Linked DNA regions of Schizosaccharomyces pombe. Changing the gene in region 2 together with the main gene of any one other region gives a genetic interaction. Each region holds a gene or a part of one and is shown on either strand. Other genes may lie near its edges. The genes, in order: gid5 and SPOM_SPCC306.11.

Region 1 (13,208 bases), on a different chromosome or scaffold from region 2:
AGTCTGGCCAAAGTGCATATCGAAATTGATCCTTAGACAAACCTTGAGTCCTGTCTCTATAACTTCTTAATGTGATTTGATGAAGCAAAAGCGGTTGCCCCACCTGCTTGATTACAGGCAAATCATTTCCCTGTTTGCTGAACAAGTGTATCTGTAGTCCGATGCTTGATGTATCACATGTTGGATCCCACAAATATACGGTGGTTACCCAATCTAAAAACATGATTATTAGCTCTTGACTGGAAAAATAAAAAGTATAGTTTCCACCATGATAAGCAAGCATACCCTTAGTTCCATGTAGACTTTGGCGACTAGGGGTAAAATCTTTTACTATTCCAAACAAATTGACAATAGTATTCTTCTTTTGTAATTCTTGAGAGCTTCTAATGGACTGAAATGTAAGTTCCTTTTTCATTGTTAGCAAAACAAATATAAATCCATTGATATCTCACTCCAATCTTATATTCTCCAGCATTTAATAACTCATTCAACTGAAGACTGTCAATAACGTCCTCTCCCATGCTTGATCAACGAATGATCCAAATATCCTTTAAGAACAACAAATGAGTTTTAGCCTTTCTCAGAAACCTAAATGGAATTGGTAAAAGCTTTTTAAACCAAGACAACCCCTTGAAAGTGATGAACCTTCAGATTATTCAATAGACTGCGTGAGAGTTACTTGTTCAAGCTTGATCATTCCCCTTCTTCAAATTCCTAGGATGAACTAAGGGTTATTCAGTTTTATTTTACCAATAATGAATTTGTTTCTTTATCAAGCAAAAGAATGACCCACTCCTCAATCTTGAGGTTATGAGTGTTCATGGCTAGCTATTAAATGGATCGCCGTAAAGTCCTTAAGCTGAGCGCAGTTGTAAAACTTTAGACATATCCCAGTTTCTGCTAGGCTATTATTGAAAGAGTTTGCCGAGTATCAAGATTTACTAGTATTATAATAAGCAGATCGCATACCGGTTCATGCCAATTGGTACTTAAAAATTTTAATGTATGCGGTTCATCTCGAAAACTCAAGACGCTTACTTTAGCTAATCTAACGTTCAGTTTAGAAAAAGAATGCAATGCAAAAAGCGATAGCTTATTAAAAGACTTTCCTAAGGTATTGCATTCACGATCCAGAACAGCAAACCTGCAACGATCTATTTTGGTTTTAAAAGCGCCAACCTGCTCTATGCGTTTAAACCCATGTAAGTTTAACTTACAAAATAAGCAATTACTTTCAATATAATAAAAAATTGATCCAATCGAATATAATATATACGATTTCATTGTCATAATACCTAAGTTTTGACAGTAGTTTGCTCATAATCTACAAAAAAGAATAAAACTAAAAGAAAGAAAAAAACATGCATGGTTGTTCGTCAAACCTAAATGCCAATTATGCAGCGATATAAATATCCCCCGATCATTTGAGCATAGCTTCGAAGACCAAAGATACTCAGCAAAAGTAGGGCAGGTAACCAGAAAGAGAATAGCATAAAGTCCATTCCTGCCTTTTTCAGTGTCTTTGCCTGCTCCTGTATTGCTCTGGTTTCTTCAGGAGTAAGAGCAGTAGATTTTCCACGACCAACAAGCCGAGATTGCCATCTCAAAGACCACCAAACACTTTTGTGATGATCGGGATCTTCAGATATAGCGCTATCTCTTTTACTAGAACCAGCTTGCGCTGTCGTATCATCAGCAAACTCAGAATAAGGAGGGGGTACATCATCGGGAATGGCCGATATACTTTTTAAGGTTGACAGCATGGCTTTTTGCATCATGGATGGAACTTCACTCATATAATTCTGAGGTAGTTCTTGAAGCGATGGAAACATTGTAACAGTTTTATTCCACATACTTTCACTATATGACTTGGTCTGAACAGCAGATTCCTCAATTTCGTTAACAATACTGGTTGATTCTAAGGTTTCATTTGTATTAATGGAGCCTTCAGAATCCTTAATAAGAGAGCGAGAAATACTTTGGGCTTGTTCATTATTTGCTTCCTTAAAGACCAGTTTTATAGGCTCAGAAGAGGAGAGGTCTATCGGTTTTTTACCGCTAGCTCCTATAACATCAGGCTTGGCACCGTTGGAAAGTAAATTAACACATATGTCTTTATGATCATACAATGAAGCATAATGCAGTGGTGTATAGCCAAGTGCGTCCCTTTTGTTAACATCGCATCCTGCGTTGCATAAGAACGTCGAAGCATTAGACAATCCACAGGCAGCAGTAAGGTGGAGAAGTGACCTACCAGATTCGTTAACAAGACTAAAATCAGAAAGGTATGGTGTCGTTGTATCTGTAACAAGAGCAAATGCTGCGAGGATAGTACTTTCAACACTGTCATCAGACTGATTACTGTCTTTTTTCACAATCCGCGAAATAACCGATTTAAGCGATTCCATATTGCTATCATGCAATAAGGTTTTTTTAGACTGACCTTTAGATTCACTGTTAGGAGGCTGCTTAATAGAATTTGTTATATATTGAGCAAAATCGTCGCGCCATGAACTCAACAATTTTTTGGATAACGTTAATGGGTTTTGAATAGATCCAGTAAGTTTTAAGCCTAAAACTTGAACAGTTAATTTGTAAAGTTCATTATCTAAATTATCTTCATAAGTAAACATTACTGGCGCTTCAGAAGATGAATTATAGTTCTGAAAGGTTACAGGAACGGTTCCAGCATTAGTTGCAGGAGGACAAGTCGCTATAATCGTTGACTCACTCCACGAAAAAGTTACAGCAGCTGGGTTGTCACCAAATAAACAGACTAATCCATTAAAAAAGTTCGCGCCAAGAATTGTAACTTCATAACCTCCCATGATTGAACCCTTATTAGGAATAATCCGAGATATTAAGGGAGCATGTGAAACATCAGGTGGAGTCATGTTTATAAAAGAAGAATCAACATTTTCTTTTATCGGCGTACTTACAAAATCAGGTTTAGCAACCTCATCAAATTGTGTAAGCAAGTTGTTGACACTACTTTTTTCTTCAACGGAAAACGAGAAATCATCTGTACAGTAAGGGAATGGGGCTATTGGGGCACTTTCATTTGTATGGGCTTCAAGCACTCCTTCCTCTTGCTGTTGTCTTTGTTGGAAACCAGCGGCATCGCTGGGAACTCGAACAACATGGAAACCATTCTTTGAAATGGAAGGACTTACGCCGCTTGGGGTAGTCATACTCAGCACAGAAGGGGATTTGCTCATACTAAAGGCTGAGCCCTCAACACTTTTCAAAGTGCTTTTCGAATTAGGTGAATGCGAGTCACTAGCAGATAGTTGTATGTCGAGTGCTCTAGAATTTTCACTCGAGGATGTTCGACGACGCTTTTCATTTGGTGGATTATCTGAACGGGTAGGGAAACCAGTGACAAGATTGGGGACAGTATTGCTTTTAGAAAGAACATGGTTTGAAGGAGCTTGTTGAGAATTGCTCTTACCAGTCTTTTCTGATTTCGTAAGATTTCTACTTTTATGATCATCAAGAACGGTAACAGGCTCTGGAAAAACAAGACGATCCACCAAACGTGACATGGAGTATAAGTCCCATATGATGTGAAAGTAAGGGCATGATTGATGAGACGAGTAACATGTAATCCGTGCATTGATGTGAGCAACTCTTTCATTTCCATCCAATTGCAAACGAACGTACTCAGGTCCAGTAAAAACCATTATCATTCTATCTTCATCTATGTCTTCAAGTTTGGGAAATTGATTTAAGAGCTTGATCCTGAACTGCTGCTTTTCTTCGGGAGAGGCATCAGTCATGTTACGCTCATAAGCCTTCAGTTTAGTATAGTTAGGCATACAAGCATCCTTTGTTGCTTGAGATCGAGCATTGCGCTTCCTTTCTCGAAGTAAACAGCGAGTACAGCAAGTCTTAACAACTGAGCTTTTGTCACCTGCAAGAACGGTAGGTACAAGATGAATGACGGTCTCCGGATCGGGTTGCAAAGGCTGAGGTTTCGAAGAACGCTTTTTGTCTTCACGGTGAGCCCAACTTGGCAAGCGAAGATATTCAAACGGAACACTTTGATTATCGTTGCTCTTGATCCGCAACTCAAAAAGCATGTTAGTTTCCACCCGAGATTTCCATTTGTGCTCATTGATAGCTGGTAAATGATTAACTGAGAACGCGTACTCCTTATTAGAAAGAGGCGGTGCAGACGTATTTAAAGAGGAAAATGCATAATCTTCGGCATATGGCGTAAGAGTATTAATAGATTCGTTGAAGGGAGTTTCCAACATGGTAATCGGCTGTCTAAACTGTAATGGATCTTCGATGGCGCCCGATGACTTTACAGAATTAAATCCAGCTTCATAAGGTGCTTGTTTCATAGGATCCATTTTTAAAAGATAAACATCCGACTCTCCAAACATGGGATTATCTCCCAAAGGTTGATCAACGGTATTAGCTAGAAAATTAGCATCAGAAATAGAATGTTGCGGAGTAGGAAACACCGTTCTGTTCAAATGCAAACTAGGATTGATGTAGTCTTGCTGACGATCAGACGGTAAACATTCCGCTTCATCTTGTGAATTCGATAAGTTAGGTGAACTGGCATGGGATAAAGACGGAGGAGCTATACTAGGCAAATTTAGACCTTGATCCGGCAATCCATCGAAGTTAAAAAATTCACGCATTTCTGCATCGCCGTTTCCGGCTTTTTCAAAATCGGGAGAGGAAAACATATAATCATCAGAGGAAGACCTCCCCTCCTCTGAACTAAATTTCATGAGCTTGTTTACTTCCCAAGTTCCTTCTTCCTTAGTCGAATTCTCGGTATTTTTGGCGATCAAATTTCCAAAAGAAAATTCTAAATTCATCTTGAGAGTACTTTGAAATGCAATAGACTACCTTTATAAAGGCAATTCTTTCAAAGAATTTAAAGGTCTTTAATGTACTACTTCTTTTCAATTCTCACTTTTGCTTTCCTCCTCGATTAGTTGGTTGTTGGAAGCTGTCGCTGCGCTACTACACTAATCTCTTCCATCACGTTGTGCAAGTATTACATGCTTTCCACTTGAGCACACATTCTCTAGTATTACTCTTATTTTAACAAGTTATTATGTTATATTTATTTAAATAATTAGTTTGTGGGTTTTGTTTTTTAGTTCCGCCACTTTCTTCATATTCGATTAATTTCCTTTCGGCATTATATACCAACAAAAAAATTCCCAACATTCTGATAAATTTAGTAGAATACATGTAAATGAAATTGTTCTTGTCAAAGTACAACTTTCCTTAAAAAATTTTTACAATGTTAAATAGGTTTTTACACTATCCCGCATACATATAAGTTGAATGTTCATAATACTTATTTTATTCGTTTTGATAAATCATTAAATCTTTTTATATACGATCATTCTCAAAGTACTTCAATCCAACAACCTGTTAACTTCAGCTGCAAGAGTTGTGCACACATTTATACATACAGAAATACTAAATGCGAAAATGGCTCCGATTTGTTAGACTGTTCCAATCAAGTCGGCAAAGACAACGGAAAAGCGTAATAGAAATTAATCGGTTACATTGATGTACATCAAGGCATCTTTGACACGTTCCCTTACATCAGGAGATGAGTGATTTTGTAGCATCTGCAAACATTCTCCAAATCCGAGATTTTGTAAGATACTTGCTCTTTCCTTATCTTCCTGGCTTGGAGATGTACATTGTTTGGGCCATAGAATGTTAATACAGAGCCAAATTCCGGCCAACAGAATTTCGGAGTTTGGTTCATAAGTGTCCTCTTCATAAATATCGAAAGGAGGACGCATTTCCCTATCAAAATCATCTTCTTGCAAATCCATTTCACTGTCACTTTCCGGAGATGACACATTTGTGGACATTTGCTCGGGCTTGAGACGTTGTGCTTCTTGTAGCATAATTTCCTTCACCAATAGTAGTAGTTTGGTTTGCCTTAGGATAGAATCCCTAAGCTCACCATCGCTGGCAGCGATGTGCACCAAAATGTAAATACTGGGTTCAATTAGGATAGGATTTTTACTTTCTAATTTTTCAAGCAAAATTTTTGCTAACAACTCCATAGGAACCATTTTCAAAAGAAAATCCACGCTTTCTTCTTTCTGACATGTAAAATTTCGCAGCACTTGCAACATTTGCTCTTGGACCCCCAGATCTTCGTCATTGCAAAGTTCCACAAGCTTTGAAGCACCGATCTTTTTTAAAGGTTCAAGCTGGATCGTCTCATCATCACCAAATACAACATGCCGCAGAACCCACACGGTCTTCTTTCTTAGACTGCTATCTTTCGTACTAATATTTGATATCAAAGTATCAATGAAATTTGTAGTAAGGAATTTCTCTCTCAAAGGAGAAAACTTAAGTACCAAGTTACAAATGGCAGACGTAGCAGTCGATTTGACTCTAGTATCCGGGTCAGAAAGCAACTTTATTAATGGTTCGCTCACGTCTGCATCGGCAAGGCCCGTACGTAAAATGTAAACGCTTCTCGAGAGACTTAATAAGCATTCACAAGCAGCCTTTTTCACGCTGTTAGAATTGATTTTCAAAGCATTAATGATAACAGGCAAATATTTAGCATCAACTATTAGTTTTCTGTATTCATCTTTAGAAGTTGTTAATGCAGCAACGGCTAGCAAAACTGATTCTAAGATTAGGTTTTTTTGCTCCTTTTTGGTAGCAGGAAGATTAAAACAAACGCTGGATTGCAATTCATCGGATAAAAAATTAATTTCATTCTCTTCTTCTTTAGTTGCGTATTCTAGAAGATATTTGGCAGCATCAATAAAACCTGCATTTACAGCCGTCTTTTGCATAATTTCGTTTTCATTGATTATGATGGCGAGAATACGAGGAGCGATTTGTTTTGCTTCTCGAGATTCAAAAAATAAACGGATGAGAATGGGAGTTACTATCATTTGAATCTCCTTAGTTTGATTTTTAGAAAGGATGCCTGCCTTGTATAGGGTCACTAAACAAGAAATTGAGAGCAAGCGAATACAAGGATCAAACTGTCTAACGAGACAGAATAACTGAGTAATATATTCATCACCATTAGGCCCAAATATCTCTGATTTAAATAAGGCGACCTTATCCTTGTTTCCCTCAAAAACATTTTCAATTTCATCTAAATCCATATCGCGAGGCGAAACGTGACCATTTGATTCTAGCCGGGTTTTCTCTCTTTGTTTATAAGACTTCACATGCTGTTTTAAATAAGCATTCAAAGTACCCAGGGAGTTAGTAATTAAGATAGAGCAATCATTCCAAAATCTTCTTCTGGAATACAAGCGCAATTGGGTAGCTCTGTTAGTGATTTGAAATAAAGCAGAACAGAATCGTGGAGAGTCTCCAACTTTAGAGTTATAAAGGATAAGACGATGCAAAATCTTAGAAGATAAATTTGAGATACGCAACACATCAAGAGAAGGTTGTTCTTTCAAGGGTAAAGTATACAAGTCAAACATTTGATTAATTATAGAGTCCGAATGTAACTGAGTGACATATTCTGCTGCTTTGTCAAAACTCAGCATTGTGTTAAAAACTTTAAGGGTGATATTCAGCATTCCATATGGTGTACTATCCCTTTTCGAAATCATTTGCATAACGGAAAGAAGATCCTCGTGTCGTAAAAATTGAACGAAAGGGTCCTGGTCCTCACTCATCAAGGAGTTTAAAACAACAAAAACTTGATATTTTTCATTCATGGATAAATTTTCTAAGGAAAATAAATTAAGCAACAGCTTTGGAGCTCCATTGCGAATTGCATATTCTTTTCTGTCGGGTCTTCCAATTACCCAATTTTTGAAAGGAACGATATACCTCAACAACTCATGCTCATCCTTAAATATTTTAGGATTTTCTTTAAAAAACGAAGAATCCGTAGAGTCGTTAATGGCGACCATTCATGAACAAAACTTGAAGATATTTGCAAAAAATATGAGACTTCAGTAAATTTGGAAAACTAGCGTGAAAATGAGCTGATTAAATCTTTTTTTAATAAAAGTAGATTATTAGCAATTTAATCTATGCAATGAGTAATGTATAAGATGCAATTCCTATAGAATGGTGGTGATGTTATGTGTAAGAGGGTTCCTCAATACGTATTTTATACTTACAGAAAAGTTACATATTAGTTTTATAGTCTTAAGTAGACAAAAAGTACAAACGATTAGAAGTATTATTTGCTTTTTATATATTTATCTTAACAATTGTAATGAATTTAATTGTGCTTATATCTAAGCAAATTACCGAATGATTACATCCAAAGTAGAATGTACAGTTTTGCCTTCTTTTTTTTTTTTAAAAAAATAAAAGGTTCTTTAAAGTTACTAGTACAAAACAAGAAGTACGAGATTTTTACTCCAAAAATCAAAGCGTATTGTCGAAGTAGAACTTTTTTCATAAACATGAAATTATGGATAAACGGGGGTAGGTGCAATACGCTTCTTTGATACTTTTGAAGATTCAACTTTTCTGGGAATTAGTGTTGTAGTAGCTGGTCCCCCAGCCGTATTGTCTTGTGAATCATCAATACTAGAGGGTGAAGCTGATCGTTTCTCCGGCAAAGAAATTTTGTGTTGACTTTTGACACCCAATTCTCCAGGTTCAAAGGTAATTACAGAACAAAAACCATCTATAGAAGTCATTAACAAAACATTTCCATCATCATTCCAAGCTATGTCTGTAAGGTTAGAGTAATGTAAATTTACTGCACGATAAAATGGTTTGCAAGTTTGCGTATCATAAATATAAACAGCATCTTGACATGCCACAGCAAATACCATTCGATAAGGAAGATTAAAAGAGACAGAAGTAAAAGAGAAGTTAGAGAATGAGTTCAATTCATAATGAATTGGAGAAAAACGAACCGCAATAACTGGTTTTTTGAATCCATTAAGACAAGCTACTGGCTGTTTGGTTATACTCCCTCTTGTATAAATATAAGCAGTATAGGGAACTTCAAAGTTTGGTTGACCGTGCGGTCGAAGCCGACCAGCAGGCGTAACTAGTAGTAATCCGTCAGGGGAGAATGCTGGACGACGAAAAAAAGAAACAAGAGTTTCATTGCAGTACAAAGAGTAACTGATTTTTGAATTGAGAGAATTTGGAGGCTCTGTTCGCTCTAAGCTTCCATCTTTGACTATGTTTGCAGTTGATGAGAGAGCTTCGTGCTTAGATACGGGAGACTCATTATTATTAGAAGTTTCGATAGGTTCTGATATCCCCGATGATTCATCATTATTTAAGGGCTTCGTAACAGATATTAATTCGAATTTAGTTACATTATACTCAATACGACAGATGCGCGATTTTAAAACGAGTTGGAATTTTTTCGGATTCTTTTTTTCCTCTTGAATTTCGTATAAACATATAGAACGATCACTACTTTCCGAAACGATGTATTGATTCAAAGGATCCCAACATACCCCTTGAACGTAATGTGAATGGTCGAATTTTTGAGTAAGCAGTTGCCCTTCTTAGTCAGTAATTTTAATTTAAAAAAAAATATTGCCAATAACAACAACTGCCAATTCATACCTGTGTGAGCATCGTACAACCGAAGACTATTATCCATGGCGCCGGCAATAAGAAAATTACTGTCAACCGACCAGCATAAATCATATATTTCTGAACCCATCGACCTACAAACTATTTTGACCTTCCAATATTCTTTAGCTAGAGCCAACTCTTCCGCATCATCAGCCAAAGTTGTTATAGGAGTGTTAGTTGGAACCCATAACATAATAGTTCCTTCATCTCCGGCGGTAGCAAGAATATTTCCTATTTTAATGTGAGCATTGGAAAAAATTATTAGCGAATACCTTCTGGATTGAAACGAACGACGTTCACTGCTTGCGTGTGTCGACTTAACGTAGACAAATATTCGACTTTTGTGGATGATTCCGAAGTGATCAATTGCCATATCTGGATATTAGTATAATTGAAGGAATTTTCTTTCTTTTTTTTAAACTACAACAAACAATAGTTGAAGCAAAAATAGTTTTATGTCAAATCATTACCCTGATTTTACTGTCTCCTCCACATGTAGCAAATTTATTAAGACTGTTCTTTTGAAAATCAACTGAATAAATAGGTGTGTGATCATCATTAGCATCATAATGCCATCGTATCTGCAAAACCTCCGCTCTCATGTTCCTCTTCGTCGTTAGTGCTCTAGGATCGCTTCGCACAATTTTTCTAATAGTAATTTCGTGAGTACGGAACTAACGTGTATATTATTTAGAGTTCAAAGAGAATTTTTTATGAACTCTCTAATATTGTTGTTATTTCTATTATTTGTCAATTTGCTTTGGGTTCAATGTTCAAGCAGCATTAGTAGTTGGAGGAAAAATTTTGAATTATATGCTGAGTGCCCGTTATACTCTATTTTTTTTTATCTATTTAAAGCCCTTTAGTTTGCACAATAGTCTTCTTATTAGCCGTGCGATTACTATGTTTAGTGTTAGGTAAGTTTATAAGGTTCGATTTCTTATAAATATTATGGACTTTCACAGTTGAAATTGCATCCTTTCCCCTTGGTTTAAAAACAGAGTATTTCATATAATAGAGTACAAAATTTGAGGGTTTAAAACGCGTAGTTTACAAGTCTTGGATCAACATCATTTTGGTTTTTAGACATTTTATTATCTTCCATAGACTCATCATTTCTATTGTTTTTTTTTTAATATCTTATCATTTAGGCGGTGAAATTGCGTATAAAAACTGTCAACTATAATAACACATATGAATTTAAAATCTAACTTTTTCTTGTAAGTAATATTTTTAGCTTAAACAAATACTTTGATATTATTATAACCTCTTACTTCATCGTATAATTCCCTAACTACACGCGACGACTTGGTTCACGGTTTTGTACAATCGATGCCGTTCAGCTCTGTTATATTGCTGTTGAGAGTGTCATAAACAACAAGCAATTTTGATGATCAAAATTCCTTAAACGTTACTTTTTTTTGTAAACTTTCTTGCCAAAGGTCGCTCATTTGTATGTGTTATTGTTTCATTCCAGATTTATCTGTTTACCTTTCGTACCACATACTTTTATCTATGTAAATCAGAATGTCAGGACCAGATCATGTTCAATGTCCTGTTTGCGCGAAAACAGTTACGATGAATGACATTAATCCACACCTTGATTCACATTATTCGGACTCATCAGGCCCTTCGAAACCTGTTTCACCCTTTTTTAAAAAGGAACGCTATAAACATCATTTAGAAACAAATGTCTCATCTCACCAGAGCGCTACAAAATTTATAGAGCCTGAACCCAGCCCTACAAAGAAAACTAAACTTACAAGACGGGATACACGACCACTGGCGGAACGAGCAAGACCCAAATCACTAGATGAATATGTTGGTCAGGAAGAGCTGGTTGGTGAGCGAGGCATCATTCGTAATCTGATTGAACAAGATAGGTGCAATTCCATGATTTTATGGGGTAGTGCTGGAACTGGAAAGACTACGCTTGCTAGACTAATTGCCGTTACAACAAAATCAAGGTTCATAGAAATTTCTGCGACTTCGACGACTGTTGCTGATTGTCGTAAAATCTTTGAAGACTCACAAAATTATCTCACCTTGACAGGAAGAAAGACTATTATTTTCTTGGACGAAGTACATCGTTTCAACCGTGCGCAACAGGATATATTTTGTAAGTTTGATATTTTTTTATCTCTTCAATTAACCATGACTAGTGCCAATGGTTGAAAAGGGTCTAGTTACTCTGTAAGTGATGCATTCTAATATCACAAATGCTAACCTTTGAATTAGGATCGGCGCAACAACTGAGTATGTTTAAACACTAATGTTTTCCACCATGATTAACATTGTAGAAATCCTTCTTTCCGACTAAATTCTGCTCTCATTAGCAGATGCCCCGTTTTTGTGCTTAAGAAACTAACGCGTGATAATGTTAAGAAAATATTAAACCATGCTTGCTTACTGGAAAGTGAGCGACTAGGATCTTCTATGCCCAACGTTGAAACATCTATTATTGATTACATATCTGCTATTACAGACGGAGATGCTAGAATGGCCTTAAATGCTTTAGAAATGTCTATTGGAATGCTAAGACAAGGACCCCTGTCACTCGAAGATATTAAGGACAAGCTAGTCAGATCTTCTGCACTTTACGACAGAGTAGGTGATGTTCATTATGATACAATTTCTGCCTTCCATAAATCAGTAAGGGGTTCTGATGTCGATGCAACTTTATACTATCTGGGTAGAATGCTCGAGTCTGGAGAAGATCCACTGTATGTGGCACGAAGAATGGTTAGAATAGCAAGCGAAGACATTGGAATAGCAGATAATTCTATGCTACCTCTAGCATCCAGTACATTTACTGCTGTTCAACAAGTTGGCATGCCTGAAGCCGATGTAATTCTAGCTCATTGCGCCGTCGCCTTAGCATTAGCTCCAAAATCAGTTGACGTTTACAGATCATATAATGCTGTAAAAAGTTTTTTGTCTTCTCATCCCGATGCTGGCAGGGCTGAAATTCCCATGCATATTCGAAATGCTCCTACAAATTTGATGAAGCAATTAGGATACCATAAAGGATATAAATACAATCCGGATTATAAAGACGGATTAGTAATGCAAGAGGTAATAAAAAATATTCTTTTCAATTTGTTAACCTACTCAGTATTTACCCGATTCTATCAAGGGAACAAAGTTTTATAAGCTACCTATAGAGTTAAAAGAGGATGAAGAAATTAAAAATTTAAAAACTGATACTAAATAATTATATAAGTGATCCTTCACTAATTGTTCATTTACCACGTTATAATGGAAATCATTGTATTTCAATACCTTTGCACTTAGCCCATACTTTAATGGTGAAGGGGTAATGTCTCAAACTCCTATTAAAAAGGAAGAATCTAATGATCAGGATGATAAATTTGAATTTAAAAAATATATTAATGAAGGGAAGCTCCCTCTGAAAGCAGATAATCCCAAAAAAAAACCACAACTTGGAACTATTCAAGCTAATCAGCCTATTCCATCCATATTTGACAATCTTTTTAATTTATTCAAGGTAATTAATACTACATACACTTTTCTTTATTTGAGAAATTCTCTTACAATCACTTTTCCCCTTCTCAATTCGAGTGTTAAGCAAAGTTTGAAAAAGGAGTTGACAATCGGCGATTTATCTCAGCTAAGAGAAATATGTCCTCAAATAATTG
Region 2 (12,129 bases):
CACTCTTATCCACCTTACGAAGTCCGGATGTAATTCCCTCGCCTTTATTAATTTCGGCAAACACCGCTCCCATATCACCTTTATTATCAGCAGGTGCGGGCTCGTTGCTATCCTTCCAAAAATCATTAGATGGAGGAGGTGGTGGTGGTGGTGGAGGCAAGCCGCCGTTTGCAGAATCGCCAGAAGATGGTGCCTGAGTTTTCGAAGCAGACAAGTTTGCCAAAGCCGTTTTCAAGGGTACTGCATCCTGTTTAGTAGACCAGGTGAGACCGGTTTTGAAGTGGGTCTTGACGTATGTAATCAATTCAGTCAACAGAGTAAGGTAAGAACGAACCCATTCGATTTGCAAGTCATCTTTACCTTTAAACTCTTTCATTACACGGTTGGCGTAGAATTGGGACGAATCTTTCATTTCAGACATAAAGGATAATGGAGTGGGCTCAACTGTGACCCAGCCCAAAATACTAATTCCACTCATGACGGTAGAAAGTTGATTGAACTCGGGGGCGGTGCGGTGTTCATCTCGAATATTGGTAATAGTGAGCAGTTCAGATTGGATAGGCTTGAGGAATTCCAAGAGTTCCGGGGAATCCATGTCGGGTTTCTGGGCTTTCAAAGCGACGCTCAAAACCTGACGTAAAAGGTTAAAAGCCTTCTCGACGTGTTCACTTTGTTCGGCAATCAAACCACCAATTTTTTTACTCAATTCCATGTATTTAGATAAATACTTGGAACAAAATTCATCGTAGGCGGAAATGGAAGCAGGAACCGCTTCAACGGCAGAGGTGGATGTAAGACTTCTGTTCCGAGGACTGATAGCAGCCGCAACTTGATCATGTAATGATGCGACAGCAGGACTACCAGTCGACACGGTTGGGGCCGTTGGAGTACCAATGTTGAAGGATATGTTGTGGGTTTGACTGTTTGAATCTCTAGAAGGACGATGCATGTTGGGAAGAGGCTTATGACCACTTTCCACAAGATCCTCCAAACGAGAAGTTGCCGCTTCCAGTCTATATGAGTAAATGTTAGATGCATAATCAATTAAAGACTATTACTCTTTTAGCAGTTTAATGCAATTACATACCGTTTGAGAATCGTGGTAAAATTGTAGCCTGTTTCACGTATATTGATCATATCCGACATGGTTAGACGAAAAGAAAATGTGTTTAGCGGAGGTTAAGTGATTTTTATAATGCAACGCAACAAATATAGTAAGTGTGGTGGTGGATGGAGGACGAAGGAACATAGAGCCGGCTTAAGCAATATGAAACTCGGTATCGAAAAAAGCGACTTAACCTTTTCAGCTGTAGTATAAACTAGCGTTTTTATTATATAAAAAATTGAAAAAACGATAACTATTTCCCTCTTTTGAAGCTAGAAGAGCTACTGGCAATGATCGTGTCTTGGCTGTGAACAAACATAAATACTTAACATAAAAAAATAATTCCATATTCGCGCTGCACCTTACTTTAGCCAAAAAAAATGTAATTATTAAATGCACCGAACCTCTGCTGAGATGAGTCCAGAGATTATCGAGGTAAGGTTTTTAATCTGGCAGCTTCGTCTGTTGTGCAATCGAAACTATATACGCTTTCTGAGTTAAAAGATTGGAAAAGAGAAGCAGCGATGCCGTTGCTGAGCTTTTAATTTTTGACGTGCTGTTTACAGTCGCTAAACTTTTGACGAAGTTCAATCCTTTTCCTACATATCCCTATGCTTACTCTAAGTATAGTCTCATTGTTGAAATGTTAATGCCTCAATTTTTTAAAAAGAATTTGTTTACGATGAAAGTGAAGGAATGCAGTTATTTAAACGACTATAATAACATTGCCTGTACAGTATTGGCAAATAAGACCTAGCAAAACAACGTTGAAAATTATGTTGATTTATAATTTAGGAGTAAATTGATTTTACTAAGTCATTTTACATTAATCATACTTTTATTTATTAATTTAAATGGCTGCTGGCAAATAAGGCGGTACACACGCATTTGTAATTTTGCTGTACTGCGTTAATGTCTTGAACCCTATAACGTTTAAGGAAAGCTAAGTTGGGGTGAATAAAAAGGGCAGTGACAAAATAAATGTGTCAGAAGCAATTGCATTTTGAAAATGAGTTTTGGAATTCTACTTTTCACTTGCTATTATTGAAAAAACAGTTTGCTTTGAAACGAGTATTGCTCATTTATTTATGTTGAGCGGCGGGAACTGAACTCCAGAGTGAATATTCTTGATTTCGCTGTTTCGTTTGTCGCAATCACAGCAATTAATTCGCGCATGTGTTTTATTAAATAAAGAATTATCTTGATGAAATGAAGAATAATTACACTTCCTTGAAAAGTCCTCTAGATGAAGAAGATGAATTGAAGACAGATCATGAAATCGATTTGGAAAAAGGCCTGCTTCCAGAATATAATTCAGAGGAAGAGGGCGCATTACCTCCATATTCAGGTAAGAATTGTAAATAATAAGAAAGGAATTACTCAATTGAAAGTTGAAACTTGCCATTGCTGTAAAATAACTTGGATGTGATCATTGTTTATAGTCGGCCATGCATGCACACACTTTGATACATGCACTTTCTTTACTAAAGTATTTCAATCATATTAATTTAAACAGATTACGCACGTGTAAGCAATCCTCCTAACATACATAGAGAAAACCATTCTTCCGGGACGACAGATGATTCTTCCCCTTTTTTGATTAAACTACTAATATCATTCACTCCAATCGTTCTACTCAATGCTCTAGCAGTTTGTTATCTAAAGTATAAAGACGCTTTCTTTAAAAATTATGGTGCAGCGGAATGGACGTTATTTGGATTTTGGTGTCTTGTTTGCACTTTGGCTTTAATATTCTTGACTTGTAAGTGAGACAATGGGGTTAATCTTACCTTCAGTCACTAACTCATTAGACTTCTATGAAAAGGGCCAAGGCAGTTAAAGTAACTGTAAATTTCTTGGCACAATGTGTAAAGGTAACTGCGGTCGGCTTGTACAACTCAAGGGAAAAATGGGTAGTAATAATTTGGCTATTATGGGTAGTCATTTGCTATACACTTTTTCTTCGCGCCAAATTCGGTAACCTGAACTTATACAAGGCTCTCATCTGTTCTACATGCAGTATTTCAGCTGCTTTACTTTTATTTTTACTATATGGTATGTGAAGTTATGGAGTTACCATTACTGACCGCTAACACGCAGTTCGTCTTCCATTTTGGACACTCAAGCATATGCTTTTTGGTTTGTTTCAAATGCTGGGTGTACAAAGTTGTGTCGTTATTGTACAGAAAGGTTTGATGCATTCATTTGATAAACATATCGACGGGACAGGCTACGAAATTGAAGCCACTTCACTCTTTGTTATAGGCAATTTTCTTTTCTTTTACGAAATGGGTTTGTTCAATATTCCTGTAATTTATTCTAACCGTATCAGAATGTCCAGGTGCTCTCAAAAGGATGCCCAAATTTATCAGGAATGGTATAGCTTCTTTCCTAGGTATGTGTATTCAACCAACTGTATGAATGATTTTTTACTTACCCGACTAGGAGGTATAGCAAATGCGATTGGAGGTGCCAACGATAATAATGACATTCCCTTGGAAGAAACGGAGGCCGAAAGCGAAGTCTAATTGCTTTATTAATGTAGTTGTCGCTACAGTTGGAAAACCTCTTTACCAAAATCACCAATGCAGAGAAGCTGCGGCGTTTTTTAAAAAATTAGCACCAACTTTCTTTAATCATCCTCTTTCACTATAAGTTTATGGAATATATGCTTAACTCATTCTTCCAATTACTATAAATTGTCAAACCAATGCATCGCTTGAAATGATTCGCGATGTTGGTTAACATACATTATGAAAGCGATTTATGAAGTTTACAATAATGGTTTTATTATTCAAAAAAAAGAGTTTGCTTACTGGTTGTTACATTTAACTATTGCAATAAAAAAACTCGCCGTGCTCTTTCATATTGCATTTATGATTTGGATCAAATATTTGAGCAAACTGATTTTAGATCATATTATCAGCTTTTCCTGATGTTTCCTATTCTTGTTAATGATCCACTTTTTTTGCCTGGGGATATTAATAAATTAGTTAGCGTTAGGATTCAATTTAGGTGGATGAATGCGAATGTTTACATCTGGAAGGTTATTAAGATAAGAAACAAAATGCACAAGGTTGTAACATACAGTGGTTGGTTGTTTAAAGCCTTTATATCTTATCGACAACATTGGCCGATTATTGCAGAAGGGTGTTACAATTGAAACTCTTGCATGTTCTTTCCTTTTTTTTTTTACGTGCAATCTTTCCAAATTGCAGTTTCAATTGTAGATAATGAAAATTTGTTTGTAAAAAAGCTCCAGTGGATTTTATAAATTTACTGAAGCAAGGAACTTCTTTTTTCCCCTACTAGTTGAAATATATCCTCTGAAAGGCAAAATTTTACAGCGTCCGTTAAACCAAATACTTAACCATAGTTGATGTATTAATTGATTTCCAACTCATTTTTTGTTTCTACCTTTTTCAATACTGGATGTCTTCTATATGGGTAATTTGAAATTCCTGCTATTCGAAAACAACTATGTTGCTCACACATTATCCTTTCAAAAATTAATAAATAATAAATATTTAATATATAAATATAGTTCCAAGTCTTTTACTATCCTAATCTATGAAGAAAGAAATTGTAGTTAGTTTAATTGCGGCGCCAGCCTCACTTCCAAACATTCATGAAGAGAGTGTAGCTGAATATCTAGGGGGCAGGTAGTTAGTATGCCATATTCACATACATCCTCAAGAATTTTAACACCACATCACAATTGTCCCGCCTTTTGTTTTGATGAGCAGCTGAATGAATGGATTTGAATCGATGCACTTGTATCGCGACTATTCACTTACACTTGTTAATTGGAGTGAGTTGCGATGATCAAAGCTCTTTGTCCATAATGCCCAACTAACTAGTGAGACTGAATAATAATAATATTGAGATACTTTATCATGTTTTCATGATGTTTCTTTTCTACATTTGCTATATTCAGTTCAATCCGGCCACCTTTGAACATATTGCCAGCCATCTGAATTGTTTTGTTGACATTAGGCTGGTTGCCCTCCGAGTTTGTTTATTTACACGGTGACGCAGGCTGGTTGCGATGAACATTCTCAACGCTGATTGGCTGCTTCTCCAGCTTGCCACTGTAAACAAATGATGTCAGGATCGTCTAACGAACGAGGCTAAACTCGTATATATAAACATCGATCTGCTTCCCCATTGCGGTTTGCTATAAAATCTGGTCTTTGCATTTTGGCTGTTTTCCACTTGAAAACATCTTTTGTTTACATCGTTTGTCTTCCTTCTCTTAAGTTACTTTGTAAAACGTCGTCCCAGTGTTTGGGTGCTTCAGTTTGACAAAGCTCCTTGAAGTAGTTGAGTTTATTATCATTGTTCATCTTTCCTCCTTTTTAATCGATCCAAAAAGACTTCATCGTCTCTACATTTTTATTCCATATATTCTTATCGTCCTTACATTTTCTATTCATCTGATATCCCTTTCGTTCCATTATTTCCCCCTATTTTCAATTGCATTTTCCGTTCTCAAAATTATCGTCTCCAAAAATTACTTTACGTACTCTCACATTTTAATTTTATAAAAAAAATGTTTGCATTTGCCTCTTTTGCGATTTCGGCCATCTTTTTCCTTTGCTCGTTCTCCTATGTCTCGTCCATCAAGCTTTGTGGCATACCAGGTGCTCCTGCTTGTAAAAGGCGTGAGATTTCTTTATATAAGCGTGCAACTGACACATTTCCTGACTTGAGTTCTGCTATAGCTTCTACCTCCTATTATAATATTTCGGAAGGTACATATTGCCATGTAAGTGGCTCCAACCTTTGTGTTTCACCCGATGTAATTGCCATTTGCGCTAATCATAGCACTGTTCTCTTGAACTGCCCTACTGTGCTTGGTTATCCCAAGGGTCGTGGTTCCGCATGTGTTGAAACCAATTCTTCCTACGGACTAACTCGCGGTCTTTGTCAGATCGGATCCTCCAACTACTCCACTAGCGCTAATTCTTCCAACTTTGACAATGCAAATGTTATCAACGTGACCACTTCCGTTAGTTCGGGAAGTACGAGCACTCACAGCAAGCGTTCTTCCGGTATATCTTTAAGCTATACCAACATTGTTGATCAACCCATCTTATTCACTCGTGATTCCTCAATGGATTGGTCTTGCAACATGACTTTGTGTAATACGGATTACCCTTACTTGGTTAACACTTGCTTCAATGGCACCCAATACCCCGTTAATTGTAACTCTGCTTTGCGCACTCCATTTGGTGGTGCTACTTGCCGTAATATTGGCTATAAAGGTCAAGGTATTTGTGTATATACCAACGACAGTCGTATCCCTGTTGCCGATGACCATGTTATTGTTAACACTACTTCCAAAATAAATCCAAACATTACCAGTGTCTTTAACTACCGTGACAATGCCTTCTTGTGGTAAAGGATTTCGCATAGATTCCCTTTTTCTTTAAAAAAAATCTAAAATAAGGAACATGGGCACTTGTTCCTTACTTGCATGTCTTCCTTGCTAACATTAAATTATCACTTACCTCCTTCCTTTTTCATGCATTCCTTGTCCGTTTACCCTCAACTTCACCAAAGTGATAGGCGTCCAGTAAGATTTTTATCTTTTGGCTTTTGCCTCTACTCTTTTCTCAACATGTCTTTATTTGCACTCTTATATTTGCGTGAGGTATTTACAGATTTGTATCTTTTTTTTTTTTTTTGCATGCATTTTTTGAACGAGCAAATTAAGTGGGACATACTGGTATGTTCCACCATTAAAGCGCATATATTTTTGCACCAAAATAACTTACTAAACTACATTGCGTATTTTCCTGTGATCATGGCACTTTACCTTGATATGTTTGATCTTCAAACAATCAATCATAAGCTTGACTGTTCATTTCTATTTTGATTCCTTTTAATTCTTCATCCCTTTCTTTGTTAAATTAATTTCCTTTTGTTTGGCACAGGTTGTTTAAACTTAGATTAAGATATATCTCTAGTAAATACTTTACTCATGAATTTATCCAAATACTTCTTTACATTCTTTATCATTTTATGCAAGGAATTTTCTGTAAGTGTTGTGCTTATAAATTTTTTTCTGCTGTAAAATCGTATATTCTTCAAACTTAAAGGTGAGATTAGCATGTTTACACTCGTAAAAATCCGTCATCCGGATCTGGTTTTTTGTTATGACACTTTGATGGATGACTCCCAGAGTTTCATGGTATCAAACAACTCTTTGACCTTTTGATAAATTGCTTTAGTGCACTGCTCGTGAACTGAAGCCGCATTTTTAATTGCAGAATTTTGTATGTTCGTAGGACAGTCAGGAGAATATATGGATTTCAGTAATTTCGTAAAAGGCAACATACACTCTGGAATGTATATTGAAAGAAACTGAAAAAGAGATTCTTTCGTGCCTTGATACTTAGACCATGACATAATAGTTGTTTTTGTTACTATAGAACGATCTTTCAATTCGACAGATGATTCAAAGTCTGATTGAGCTTGAAAGAGATGTAAAACGTAAGAAAAAGTTTTCGAATAATAATTTAAAGAGTTATCAGTAAATAATATCCGTAAAGCACCTATTACTTGGCATTGGAATTGTAAATCAGGGTACACATCCTCAAATTCACTAACGCTCGCAGAATCCAATGTAAAAGTTATACTCTTAGATAAAGACCTGCTCAACCCATTTTTTTCTTTTTCCATAAAAATGAATTTTTTCAATCGAGAAATAAAATTATATCTGTCATCAGAGTTCAAGTCCTCAGCCAACTCATTACGGTCAGATTTATCAAGCCTTCTTGATTTTAACAGAGAAATGACATTATCAGAGAATTCATAATTTTGAAAAAGAAAAGTGGAATGAAAAAAATTTAAAAGATCAAACACCTGAAAATCGTTTTTTAAAACTTTATATGTCGAACGTAAGAAACTGAGAATAAAAGATTGTATTGGCTCAGCAATACAGCAGCAAACATTCAAGTTAAGCGGACAGACGTTGCGCACATCATCTGTAAATTTAAGTTGTAATAAATTATCGTTGAAATCTGGAGTCATGTTCATTTTAGCAAGCAGCGTTTCAAATTCTTCACTGTCATTATTGACGGAAGTTTGTTCCAAATTACCAAAAGAAAGCGAAGAAAAGTTGCAGCGCTCCTCTATTACACAAGCTTGATTTATGTCGTTGAAAGAATATGCGAACCGAATGTTCAAAGGGTTAATAAATTCTTTGTTGTTTTTATTAAATATTTCTTTTTGTTCCCTTATTAATGACAAAAATTGAATACACTGTTCAATGCTTACACAAAGTTCAGAAGGAAAAAAACGGGGAAGTGATAAGAACAATGAAGAATCAATGTGACCATACGCACAAGAAACTTTTAAAGCAAGCTCAAGCCTTTTGAAGTAGGGATTTGAGCAATATATCAAGCACTGTAGGGCAATGGGGTAAGATATGGTATTCTGACATGAACGCGCATAATCAAAAAGAAAATCTAACAAGGAATCTCCTTTTAGGTTTTGAGCCGATTTTATTAAGAAGTGTGAAATTAACTCAAAGAATGAAGAAAAAGAATTAACAAAGTTACTTAAACCAATCAGACCGAATCTACGGAACTCATAAAGACGAAGCCAACGCTGAAACTCCTTTCGATACTGCAAGACACCATTCACAATGAAATTTGATAAATAAAAAGAAATGTTGGTCTTGTATAAAGAGAATTCATTTAAAGCTTTTTTTATTAAACCCCCAATTGCAGAAAATTTCTGGACGATACTAGCAAAACATTCATCGGACATTCCTGAAACGGAGATGGTCGGATCGAGTTCAAATGTGCTTGAGGTTTTGTTCCATGGAAACACTGTGCTTTCAAATCCTTGTGGTAAACCAGCCACGCAATTGAAAATAGTTGCTAAAGGGTAAACTTGCAGTGCAGAAAATAATGGTTTCGGACTCCAATCCTGATTATGAAGAAAATAATCATATACCCGAGAAGGCGCTTCAGATATGAATGGAGATCTAGCTTCTAAATTTTTAAAATTTTCTCCATCCCAGCTAGGGCATGTTAGCAGAACTTTGTTTTCGACAGATAAATCGCTGGGTGATGAATCTGTAAGATAAGAGGGGGACACTGAGGATTTAGCTCTTTTTCTTTCTGAAGTAATTTCCTTAGATGCGCTTATGAGTTTGGAATTGGATGATGTCTCACACCCAGGCACAGCGGGTGTTAGTTGTTGATTTGAAATATCGAGAATGACATCTTTTCCCAACAGATCATCGTTTACTTGAAATGAAAAGTTTTGAAAGTATTCCGAGGAGTCAAATAACTTCCTCTTCAATCCTTCTTTTCCCTCAAATTTCGAAAGCTGCTCGACAAAATCAGAATCAAATGAATTTGGCGTAAGGTCGAAAACGTGGTTGCCGAACCATAACAAGTCGTTTTTCATAATTCCATCCATTCCATTTTTATTTCAAAATCATCTATTTTAGTGGTACATTTCAAGATCCAACTCCTTTACTGGAAAACACTCTTGTTATGAATTACTAAAATTTGGCAATATGTGTGTAGTTAATGTATAATGTTGTTAACGTAGCGAATTAAGATGACTTCTTATCTAGAACAGTCAGGATTAGAAGATGTGAATGAAGTATGCGTCTCTTAAACTAAGAAATGGAACGTTAGTAATTGATCCTAACATTGAAACCAATTCAAAAATCCGTACTCTCGTGGCCGTACAACAGAAAATACTGACATGGAGTTAAAGGTATCCAGGATGAATAAAACAGAATGATAAATTGAACAAAAACTATCAGTTGTTAAGGAATTACTATTGCACAATTGCATAATCTATCCAAAACGACATTCCAGCATTTAATTTTAAGAGAGTGCTATGTGGATAAAACGTATCCTTTATGGAACTATAAGAGCTCTTTTATGCTTCTCTGGTTAGTACATTTAGATTTTTTTAAAAAAAAGTTTATTGTACTATTCGTGATATTATGGTTACAGTATACCTCGCTGGCTTGATCGTTTATTGTCCAGAGAGCTCGCATGCGAGTCAAAGCTGAATGAATGGTATCTTCATATAAAAAAAGTCTATTTGGAGAATTTTGGATCCTTCAACAAATTTATTTGAAGTACTTAATGTTCTTTCTTAATTTTTCTCATAAAACCATGTGTCAAGCAATGAAGGATTTAAATATTGTTGGCAAAAGAAATGTTGCAATCACTAATTCAAGTTTGTTTAGAAGCTTGCATTATATAGTTATCGACTTTTCTTTTGCCTTTGGAAAGGGATATCTTCATTATTCTTAATGAAACAGTATAAAATTCTTTTAAACACTAGACTAGATAAGTTGTTTTAATTCTTTCTCAAAAAACATAAACGACAGTCTAACTCTAAAATAATCGGGATTTTTGTGACACCAATGGTATAAAAATGATTAATTAAAAATTTTTGCGGATAACACAAGACTTTGTACTTTGTATTACTGGAAAATTTAGCTAATTAAAAAGGAGAACACATAAGCAATGTATTCTGGAGGTCAAAATCAATTGATTTTAACCTCCAAATATCAGCTTGATGTACCTTTTTTGCCATGACGATAATACATACAGGACTTTATAAAAATCAGCTTGGATTAAATGACAACCTACTTATCTAGAAATAGAATTTAAAATAAACATTCAGTACCCCCAAATCCTTTTTATAAATTAAGACTAACTATCACTATCAGATTCCAAGTTTATACTTGGCAAAGAGATATTGTCTTCCTCCTCATCATCTTCTCCGTTTCCTTCCACATTAATAGAAGTCGTTTTCTCATCTACGACATCCGTTGTTTTTTCAAAAGTTTCGACGACTGAAGAAGTTGTGTTTCCATTTTCATCACCATTTATGTTTTCAATTTGGCTTGAAACTACACTAGTAGGTCGGTCAACAAAGTCAACGTCTATAGCAGTAAATTTGGTTTCAGTGTCCTGAGAATTGTTTAATGCAACATTTGTAGTCTCCTCAACCTCAACATCTCCATGCAACAGTGAAACAGTTGTTTCCTTGTTTTCCGAAACAATGTTAATGTGATCAGTCCCGTGATTAATAGTTGAAGGTTGAGAAGAGTTGATTTCACTACCTTCTTCATTTCTGTCACCCTCATTAGAAAGAACATTAGACATAGTCAGCTCTGATTCGCTTCTTTTGTTCTCGGAGGTAGCTGTAGAATTATTCTGTAAGCCTGTATCTGTAGATGCAAAAGACTCTTTGATCCCTTCAATTTCAGTGGAATCTGTAATCGACTCTGTTTCAAAGGGAGGATTTGATGGAGCCAAAATACTACTTTCTTTATACTCTGATTGAGAATCCACCTGGGGTGGAGAAATATGCGATTGGTTTTCAAGAGAAACAGGCTCAAATCTTGACTCAAACGTATTTTCAAATTCGCTTGGTGAAAGATGTTTTTGCAAAGGTGGGAACCTAGGATGAATCAGCGATTCTATTGTTTGCATCGATGACCTTGCGTGTGAAGCGACCAGAGGATCTGGATGTACAAGCCCTAATGGACCAGAAATTATACGTATTGCATGAGGTACTATCACTGCTTGTGAATCTCCCGGTGATAAAATTGACGCAAGGAGTAAATTATGCATAGATATCAAAACTGTTGAGGTAGGGTTAGACAAAGATATCTGCAAGGTGCAAAGATCTATTTTGGTCCGTAATAAACGTGGTAATGCTATTGAATGAGTCAAAATGGATGCTAAAAAAGAAAAACAACAATCCATGACATCTGAATCATAAAGCTGATGAGACTCTTCCGAACTCATAAGTGTATCTCCTGCTTGACTTTCAGAAAGTGTTTTTCGCTTTTTTTGAGAATGCCCACGATTTTTAGAGAACTCTATGGATTTGGATGCTAAACCTTTAGAGGAATTAGCAAGATATTCTAATACCAGCGTTACAATATTTTCGTATTTTGAAAGAGGGACATTCATATGTGTCACATCCAAAAACTTTGAAAGTAACTTTAAAGAAGAGCATAAAAC

The links.
Region 1: mutations in SPOM_SPCC306.11 (region 2) and gid5 together harm fitness more than expected from each alone (negative genetic interaction), as found in Schizosaccharomyces pombe (one large-scale study listed by BioGRID).

The regions. Positions count from the first base shown.
Region 1 is NC_003424.3:4,116,842-4,130,049, reverse strand, and holds gid5 (protein Gid5), read right to left. Parts: upstream 8,078-13,208; 5' UTR 7,902-8,077; coding exon 5,532-7,901; 3' UTR 5,313-5,531; downstream 1-5,312. Other genes in the region: shelterin complex subunit Pot1, read right to left, coding at 1-213, 286-406, 453-521; mga2 (IPT/TIG ankyrin repeat-containing transcription regulator), read right to left, coding at 1,383-4,838; CAF assembly factor complex subunit B Pcf2, read right to left, coding at 8,412-9,472, 9,538-9,780, 9,822-9,924, 10,020-10,151; mgs1 (DNA replication ATPase), read left to right, coding at 11,077-11,668, 11,712-11,742, 11,788-11,805, 11,850-12,624, 12,665-12,763; RecQ type DNA helicase Hrq1, read left to right, coding at 12,869-13,208. UniProt on the Schizosaccharomyces pombe protein: Component of the GID E3 ligase complex recruiting N termini and catalyzing ubiquitination of proteins targeted for degradation.
Region 2 is NC_003421.2:425,131-437,259, forward strand, and holds SPOM_SPCC306.11 (uncharacterized protein), read left to right. Parts: upstream 1-5,284; 5' UTR 5,285-5,657; coding exon 5,658-6,509; 3' UTR 6,510-7,140; downstream 7,141-12,129. Other genes in the region: adenylyl cyclase-associated protein Cap1, read right to left, coding at 1-1,013, 1,088-1,146; gamma tubulin complex GCP6 subunit Alp16, read right to left, coding at 7,265-9,544; ribosome biogenesis protein Rix1, read right to left, coding at 10,807-12,129.